2 linked regions of the Oryctolagus cuniculus genome follow. The protein of the gene in region 1 interacts with the protein of each later gene in a pairwise test. Links are inferred from orthologs where the notes say so. Each region holds a gene or a part of one and is shown on either strand. Other genes may lie near its edges.

Region 1 (3,803 bases):
CACACCCAGATTACTGTCCACCGTGTAATCCAGCCCATGGAGCAAAGGGGCGTGGGTGGGCAGGGAGGAGATGGAGGACGGAGACTGGGGGACCCCATAGGGGCTCCCATCTCCCAGGTCCTGGTAGGGCTGCCGGGTCCCGTCCATGGAGAAGCTCCCATTCATTAACTGTCCGCCTGTAACGTCCCCCACGTTGCCATAAATCCTATTGGTGTGGCCAAGTTCTGAGAGAATTTGATCCTCTGTGGACAAAAGAACGCAGGTTTATTGTCAACTGCCAGGACTCGGCGGTCCCTGCCCTTCACGACCTAGGAACGCACAGGCCCAGGACAGACGCCCAAGCGCAGGTCAGACACCAGCACGCGGGCCGGGCATCCGGAGACCAACCCAGGCCGAGGGGACCCACGGGAGGAACCCCAGCAAGAACTAAGATCCTGGGGCCCAGGAGGCTGGAGACACGCCGGGCCCGGGTGACGTGTGCACTCTCAGGAGCGACACACACCACAGGTGGAAGCCAGGGGCGGCCAGGAGCTACTCTGAAAACTTCCCAGCTGAGACAAGGACTTGTCTGCCTTGGTGGGGCACAGCAGGTGGCTGTGGTCGGGGCAGCCCACTCGTAGCCGTGTGTGCAGAGTCCTGGTCCACCCGGAAGAGTGCCTCCAAGCAAACACGGCTTCTCGTTCCTTAAAGACTCTATTAAGGGGCTCAAATATGGAATGTCTGCCACCTGGAGGAACTCCTCTCCCCACCAGAGGAGAGCAGGTGGAGTCCAGGAAACAAGGGGTTCTATATGGCCCGGCTCCCAGAATCACTGGACACGGCTGAATGTTCTCGTCCGTTCCCCCGGGGGAGGCAGGCGCCCGGAGGAGGCCAGGGGCTTTCGGAGCAAGGGCATCAGGTCCGCGGGCCCTGTGTCCTGAGAGCAAGCTGACCCCCAGGACAGCCCCCTCCTCTCTGTCCTGACGGCCCCTCCCGCTTCCACCCAGGCCTGTGCGTCGGTCCCTACGTCAGACCTCCTCAACCTCAACCAACACCCACCCCGGTCTTTCCGAGGCCACCCCTGATTCCACTCCTGAAGCTGGATGGGGGCGGGGCTCACGCCCTCTAAAGGGGAAGGCCCATAGGACCCACAGTCGGCTGCACCCGCTGGTGGCCCGCAGCACCCGGAGATGGGCAGAGAGCTACTCTTCCCCACTCAACACACAGGGCAGCTGAGGCTTGAGGGAAGCCAATCAAGCCGACAGAGCCACCTGGAAAGCAGGTTTCTGACCGCCCCACCCCCAGGGCGGTCCCCCACCCCCACCCCCGTAGAGGGCCCAGCAAGTGGGAATTCTCAGGAATTACATGCAGTCATTGCAATCTCGCGGATGCACGGATCGGAACGTGGCGCATGCGGCAAAGCAGGTGTGCGGCGCGCTGCGTGGACCGAGTGGGGCGGGAAGGGGTGTCCCAGGTGAAGCCAGTGCCCCCATCTGGCATGCACCGGCACTGCTGATTCCCCAGGGGAAGGGGCCTGTGGCGAGGCTGGGGACCGAGACTGGGATGCAGCCCTTGGTCTACAGCCGTGTGGGCCGGTGAGGGGGCCCCAGTAGACAGGAAAGGGGGGGGGGCAGGGAGCCCGACTTTCACAGCTCAGGGGCAGGGCTCTTCCTAGGGGCTGCCCACCACCCCCACCCCGGCCTCGGCCGCCAGTCCTGGGGCAAGGGCTGTGCCCAGGCAGGCGCGGCCAGGACCTGGGGGTTGCCGCACCCCGGGGGCCTCGGCCTGGAGCCTCCGGCCCTGCTCACCTCGGAAGCTCAGCTCACTGTCACTGACCCCACAGTCCTCCGCAGAGCTCTCCTTCTCCTGCTTGCCGCCTGCCCGGCTCCTCTTGACGCTCTTGTAGAACTGCCCCCAGCGGTGCCGGCCCGCGTCTTTCTTCAGCCGCTTCTCCTTGGCCCGTCGGTTCTGGAACCAGACCTGCGGTGCGCGCGTGCGCGCGAGCGAGAGCAGCCAGGTGGGTGCCCGCCCGGCGCGCCCACGGCCGCCCCGCGCGCCCCCGTCCAAGTCCCCGGGGCCGCTCACCTGCACGACCCGCATGTCCAGGCCGGTCTCCGAGGAGAGCTGCTCGCGCACGTGCCGCGCGGGCTTCGGGGAGTTCTTGTAGGCGTTCTTCAGCGTCTCCAGCTGCTTGGCCGTGATGGTGGTGCGCGGCCGCTTGGCCCCGGCCTCCGAGTCGTCTGCGGGGAGAGGCACCTCTCACCGGGCCGCCCGCCCTCCTGCCTGGGCCCTGGGGCAGCGGGCAGGTCGCCATCCGCAGGCCCCCTCCGGCCGCCCCCGCCCAGCAGGACCCACGTCCCTGTCTGGACAAGCACCCTTGCCCACAAGGCCTCGCCCCCTCCGAGCCCCTGCCCCACCGTCCCGGGCGCACAGCTGGGTGAGCTGCACGCTCAGCAGGCCCCTTAGGCAGAGACTGCGGATCAAACCCTGGTCCAGAGCCTACTGGCGAATTCTGAAGTCAACCGAGTGGATGGAAACCAGAGAGGAAGCAGGAGGAACAGAACGGGACGGGTACTGCCCCACGACACCCGTCTGCCTCTGGCGTGGGTAGGACTGCGGAAATGCGAAATGAGGTTCTCCCTCTGGGTCACGGTCAAAATCTGAAAACCAGCGTCTAGGTGCCCTCAGGGCACCAGCAAGAAGAGACACACGAAGTGTTCCCTGGATTCGCAGCAGACAAGCCTTGGGCTCCGCTGTGTGTGCCGCTCGGGGGCGGGCACGGAGTGAGCAGCTGCACAGACCAACCTCACAGCCTGCTGCTCCTCTGCCCACACGGAGGCCGCCCCCTCCGTGCGCAGTGCCCCTGGGGGCCAACCCGGTCAAGCTGCCAGCTGTGTCCCTCAGCTCCCGCTCAGCTTGGGGCACAGCGGGTAAAACAGGCACCTGCTCCAGTCCCACCCAGCTCTCTGCTGTGGCCTGGGAAAGCAGTACAAGATGGCCCAAGTGCTTGGGCCCCTGCACCCACGTGGGAGACTCAGGAGAAGCTCCCGGCTTCAGCCTGGCCCGGTAATTCGCCATTGCAGCCATCTGGGGAGTGAACCAGCGGATGGAAGACTTCCGTCTCTCCCTCTATGTACCTCTTTCCCAATAAATAAATCTTTTTAAAAATAAAATATCTTTGCTACATTCCTGCCTTCCTCCTCAACCTCTGCTTCTTCAACATTCAAGAAGACTCACTCTTAGGAACAAAGAGTAGCCAGCATTTATTAAGCACTTACTGTATGCCTGGCCTGGTTTGAATATAATTTGGGCAGGAAACTCAGGCAGAATGTTAAACACCGGGAGAGGTGGATATGCTCACCAACAGCATACCCTCTGAAGGGCTGTTATAAAAGTCTGAACTTGGCCCCGCCTCTCTTCTCTGCTCCCTGGCTCGCCATCTGCTCCCCCCGTCCCGCCCGCGCGCACACACACACACACACACACACACGTCTCCAGTGCCACCCTGGGCAGTCCTGCACCCTCCGGGCAGTGGGGTGTTCCAGGAGCGAAGTGGTTGTGCACGCGCAGAGGGGGCTCGAGGCCCAACGTCCTCTCTTCTCTGTGGGCTGTTTCCTCCTCTGGCACAGCCACTGTCATCCCAGGACCCTGCCCACCCCTGTCTCCCAGAGGCAGAGGCTCACTGCCTAGAGATCGGTTCCAAAAAGGGGAGAGGGACACCTCCAGAAGGCTATGCTTTAAATTCTATTATGGGGAAATCAATCCCTTCTCCTGTATTTAGAGAGTTTACATTAGGACAGCTTTTGGCACAAATTTGAATTATG
Region 2 (4,353 bases), on another chromosome or scaffold:
ATGACATACAGAAACAACCTGATGGAAGCCAACAGCATTTGCCTTGTTTGGACATGGTCTGATCAACTGGCTGTGTGATTGCCTGAAATTTGACTGCTATAATTGTGTGAGAATCAGTTTCTTGATTACATAAGTTATAATCAGCTTATGTTACTGGAAACAATTGCTCAGAGGTTCATGTCTTCACGCAAGAATTTCAGATGTGAGACAGAGAGTAGTAGTAAGTGAGGTAGCAAAGTTTAATGAAGAGAACACACGTGACAGACCAGGGCAGCATACCAGCAAAGGACTCAGAGCCCAGACGATATTCAGGTTGTAGTTTTTATGTATAAGGACATGGGTCCTCACCACCACTCCACTTCTCCTTTCCTTCCTCTTCTGAGAAATCGCTGGGTGGAGGGCTATGTGGGTGTGGAATTCCCAAAAATTGCTCCAAGGACCTTAACAGCAGTGTTATCAGACCTAATAGCCCCATTTCCTTTGGCCCCTCTTATATATACATAGGCTAATGTCCACCTAGCTACCTCACACACATCAATTCAGAGTACAAGCTATTTTAGGCCAATCAGTTATGTACAGAGGCTAATCTAGGCCAAATTTAATTCAGTGTAACATTAGAATCTTGTTTTACTTGGTGCTATTTCTGAAACATCCAGTGTACTGTAACAGACCTCCAGAGGCAAAAGTTGCCATAGGACCAACAAAACAGCACAAATCTAAGATTGCAAAGAATGTAATTTATTGGGGGATTTATGGACAGAAGGTGGTCTTGGGCAGCTGAGACAGTGGATCCCTATGCCATGAGTCAGGAAAAGAGGAGTTTTACAGAGAAAGGTGGTTCACAGCCAATTGGAATGCACGTTACACTTTTTCAAGAAACATTAACATTCATAAGAAGGTATCCCAGACATTAGATAAGAGGGACTCTAGGAAACAATAGCAAGTGAGGGCCACAGTTTAATCATGTGACTTTGTGTACCTATCACAGGGCTTGGGGTGACCTCTAAGGTTATTACCTACTGGTCAAGATACACGGTGATTAGACCCAAGATGGCTGAAGCACATCGGGCTGAATGCCTACACTAGCCATTCAGTAAAATCTTGTCAAATCACAGTGTAGGATGCTATCTCAAAGCAACTCAACACTGTCAAGCCCTGCCTAAAACTTTCTTTCCTCCAGCCACATTGTGACTCAAAAAAATATTTGTCCAAATATGTAGCTTCCTCAAGGTCCCCCAGCAGTCAAGCCAGAAACGTGACTCGCACAGGTTGGGCTAAACTCACCATGTTAATACAAACGTCTGCAGGACGTAGCGACAGCCTTCGGCCGAGGAAGCAAACTGCTAACCCTTCTGACTCATGCTAAGGTCGGGGGACAGAGTTTGCAGGGCACCACAGGATCTTCCGGTTATATAAAGCGCCCGGGCGCGGAGCTCATTACGTCAATTACGCACGACGAGGCTCCGCCGTGAAGCCCTGCTCTTCCAATGACCTTCAGGGGCCGCCGAGGCGTCAGCAAACGAAAGGATCCTGCCCGAGCGCTGATTGGTGTAACCCTGGGGTAAGCCCCGCCTCTTACCTTCCGCTCTTCTTCTTCGCCGAAGTACTTGAACTCTTGCCAGAGTTTCGTCCTTGGAGACGCCGGGGTAGCTTGGCCGTGAAGATGCCGCGTGGAAGCCGCAGCCGTACCTCCCGCATGGCCCCTCCGGCCAGGTGAGGCTGTTTGGGGACCTGGGGGTGGCGGTCGAAGCACGGATCTCTGAATCCTGTCGGCCCCGGGGCGCCGAGGTGGGGGAAGGGGGGGCGCAGAGAGCCCGCCTCGGCCGGACCGAGGTGGATTGTGTTCACACTGTGTGCTGGGAGCGTGGGGGAAGGGACAGAGCTCATGCCAAGGCCGGGAGGCGCATTTCATAAAGCCGTGGCCAGCTGCCACTTGCTAGGAAGCCAGGTCACAGCCTCCGGACGTAGCCTCGATTCGGAGGAGGGCGCCCTAGGAATAGTCCACAGGCGGGCGCAGAAAGCGGGGTGCATTGGCAGTGTCCAAGCAGTGGGGGCGGGGTGGGGACGCCCGCTTCCGGTCTCCGGGGGACTCGGGCTCCTCACGCCCCCTGCCTGCTGACGCGGACGTGGTGGACCCGGGTGCTGCCACCCACGTGGAAGACCTGAATTGAATTCTTGGTTCCGGGCTTCGGTCTCGACCCAGCCCCGGGAGTCGCCGGCGTCGGAGAGTCCGCAAGAGGGATGGGAGCTGTCTTTGCCCTTCCAGCTGTTTTTTTGTTTTTGTTTTTGTTTTTCAAAAGCAGTGCTGGACATAACCAGTGGAAGTTCTAGACGTACTGCAGATGGGGAGTACGGTAGCTCCACACTTACCTCACTAGGCTCCGGTTTTGGGATCTCTGAAGTGAAAGACCTGAACTAGATTGTTTACCCAGGTGTCCATTGTTAGCTTTTTTTTTTTTTTTTTTTTTAAGATTTATTTATTGGAAAGTCAGAGTTACACCGAGAGAGAAGGAAAGGCGGGAAGGGGGGGTGTCTTCCATCCGCTGGCTCACTCCCCGATTGGCCACTACAGCCGGAGCTGCGCCCATCCGAAGCCAGGAGCTTCCTCTGGGAGCAGGGGCCCAAGGACTTGGGCCATCTTCTACTGCTTTTCCAGGCCAGAGAGCTGGATAGGAAGTGGAGCAGCCGGGACTTGAACCGGCGCCCATATAGGATGCCAGCACTGCAGGCGGTGGCTTTACCTACTTGCCATAGTGCCAGCCCCCCCGAGCTAGATTCTTTACCCAGGTGTCCATCGTTAGGTCTTAATTCAAATGTTACCAGCTTAGTGGGAGCTTCCTTGATTTTCCTAAAATTGCAATATCCCTCTTCATACTCCTGCTCTTGAAAGTTCTTTAACGTTTAATGTACGACATTTTTACTATTTGATCTCCGTGTATAAGGTCCGTAAAAGCGCAGATTTTCGTCTCTTGTTAAGTTCTGTTCTCGTCATGCATAGTAGTTGCCTGTGTGTGTGTGTGTGTGTTTTATTTATTTGAAAGGCAGTGCCTCCAGGTCACTCACTGGGTGTGAGGACCCAAGCACTTGGGCCATCTTCTGCTTTCCCAGGCTCATGAGCAGGGAGCTAGGTCCCAAGGGGAGCGGCCAGGTCTTGAACTGGAGCCCATGTGGGATGCAGGCCTCACTGTGGAGGCTTAACCTGCACAACACTGGCCCCTCTAACTCTTAATATTCTATGTTCTGTATTAATATTCTGTATTTCTTAATGAAGAATTGGAATAACTGTGTTCCTGAAAAAATACAATGGGTTATGTGAGCATATGGAAATTATTGCAAAACAGCAGGAAAAAAATACACTTGGTAATTACCACTGTAACAAAAAATTAGATGAAATTGTGTTTGTATATGTATATAGTAAGCATCTGGGATTAAGAATTTAAAATGAAAATCTTGAGATTTATTCTGATACAAAGGTGTGTGTTTTTTATCGTGTTGTTCTGGTTTTTGTAATTTCCAAAGCTCAGTAGAAACGGAAGCTTAATGTATTTATGTTCTTTCAAGCCGGGCTCCTCAGATGAGAGCCGCCCCGAGGCCAGCACCAGTAGCTCAGCCGCCAGCAGCAGCCCCACCATCTGCAGTGGGCTCGCCCGCCGCGGCACCCCGACAGCCAGGCCTGATGGCCCAGATGGCCACCACTGCAGCTGGCGTGGCCGTGGGCTCTGCTGTTGGGCACACGCTGGGCCACGCCATCACTGGGGGCTTCAGTGGAGGAAACAGTGCTGAGCCCTCGCGGCCCGACATCACTTACCAGGTAAGATTTGGGGCAGCATTTTCCTCCCGTGGGAATATCTGTGAGAAAATCTAGTTTTTATGTTCTTTGGGTGTAGAACTATCTTTAGTTTTAGAGTCTACAATGCTGTTAATAGAAAGTGGGTTCTCAAAAGCCACATCGGGCAGTTCAGTTAGTGCTTCAACAGCACCAACGAATCGTACTGTACAAATTGTGTTTCTTCCCAAGGAGTCGAATTGTGACAGTCCAGCCTGACTCACTGCAGAACAACCGTTTTTCCCTTTAATGTGATTTTATCTTGGCAGTGCTTACTGATCCAGTCTCAATCTTAGTTAAGACATCAAAAATCTCTTCAGTTGCTCTGTGTGGTCTCCTGTGATAGTTGCCATTTCCCCTCTTTCTGAGATGTGTAGCCTTTCTCTTCTAACGAGCACAAGTCTGTATTCTGTACTTGTGGTGTACAGGAAACCATCTATCCGTCTTTCTATTGTAGTCCCATTTTTCCTCCACGAAGCTTCGCTGAACTGTTTAATCTTGAGATGCCCAGATAACCATTCCACCTT

The links.
Region 2: the proteins of LHX4 (region 1) and CHCHD2 interact in binary tests that used the Homo sapiens proteins (3 or more experiments, as listed by UniProt). The two-hybrid records come from large-scale screens. The link is inferred for Oryctolagus cuniculus from reciprocal best matches to the Homo sapiens genes LHX4 and CHCHD2.

Annotation. Positions count from the first base shown.
Region 1 is NC_091438.1:8,382,713-8,386,515, reverse strand, and holds part of LHX4 (LIM/homeobox protein Lhx4), read right to left. Parts: intron 2,220-3,803; coding exon 2,065-2,219; intron 1,960-2,064; coding exon 1,788-1,959; intron 243-1,787; coding exon 1-242. UniProt on the Homo sapiens protein: May play a critical role in the development of respiratory control mechanisms and in the normal growth and maturation of the lung. Binds preferentially to methylated DNA.
Region 2 is NC_091450.1:65,935,620-65,939,972, reverse strand, and holds the start of CHCHD2 (coiled-coil-helix-coiled-coil-helix domain-containing protein 2), read left to right. Parts: upstream 1-1,444; 5' UTR 1,445-1,663; coding exon 1,664-1,713; intron 1,714-3,561; coding exon 3,562-3,811; intron 3,812-4,353. UniProt on the Homo sapiens protein: Transcription factor. Binds to the oxygen responsive element of COX4I2 and activates its transcription under hypoxia conditions (4% oxygen), as well as normoxia conditions (20% oxygen).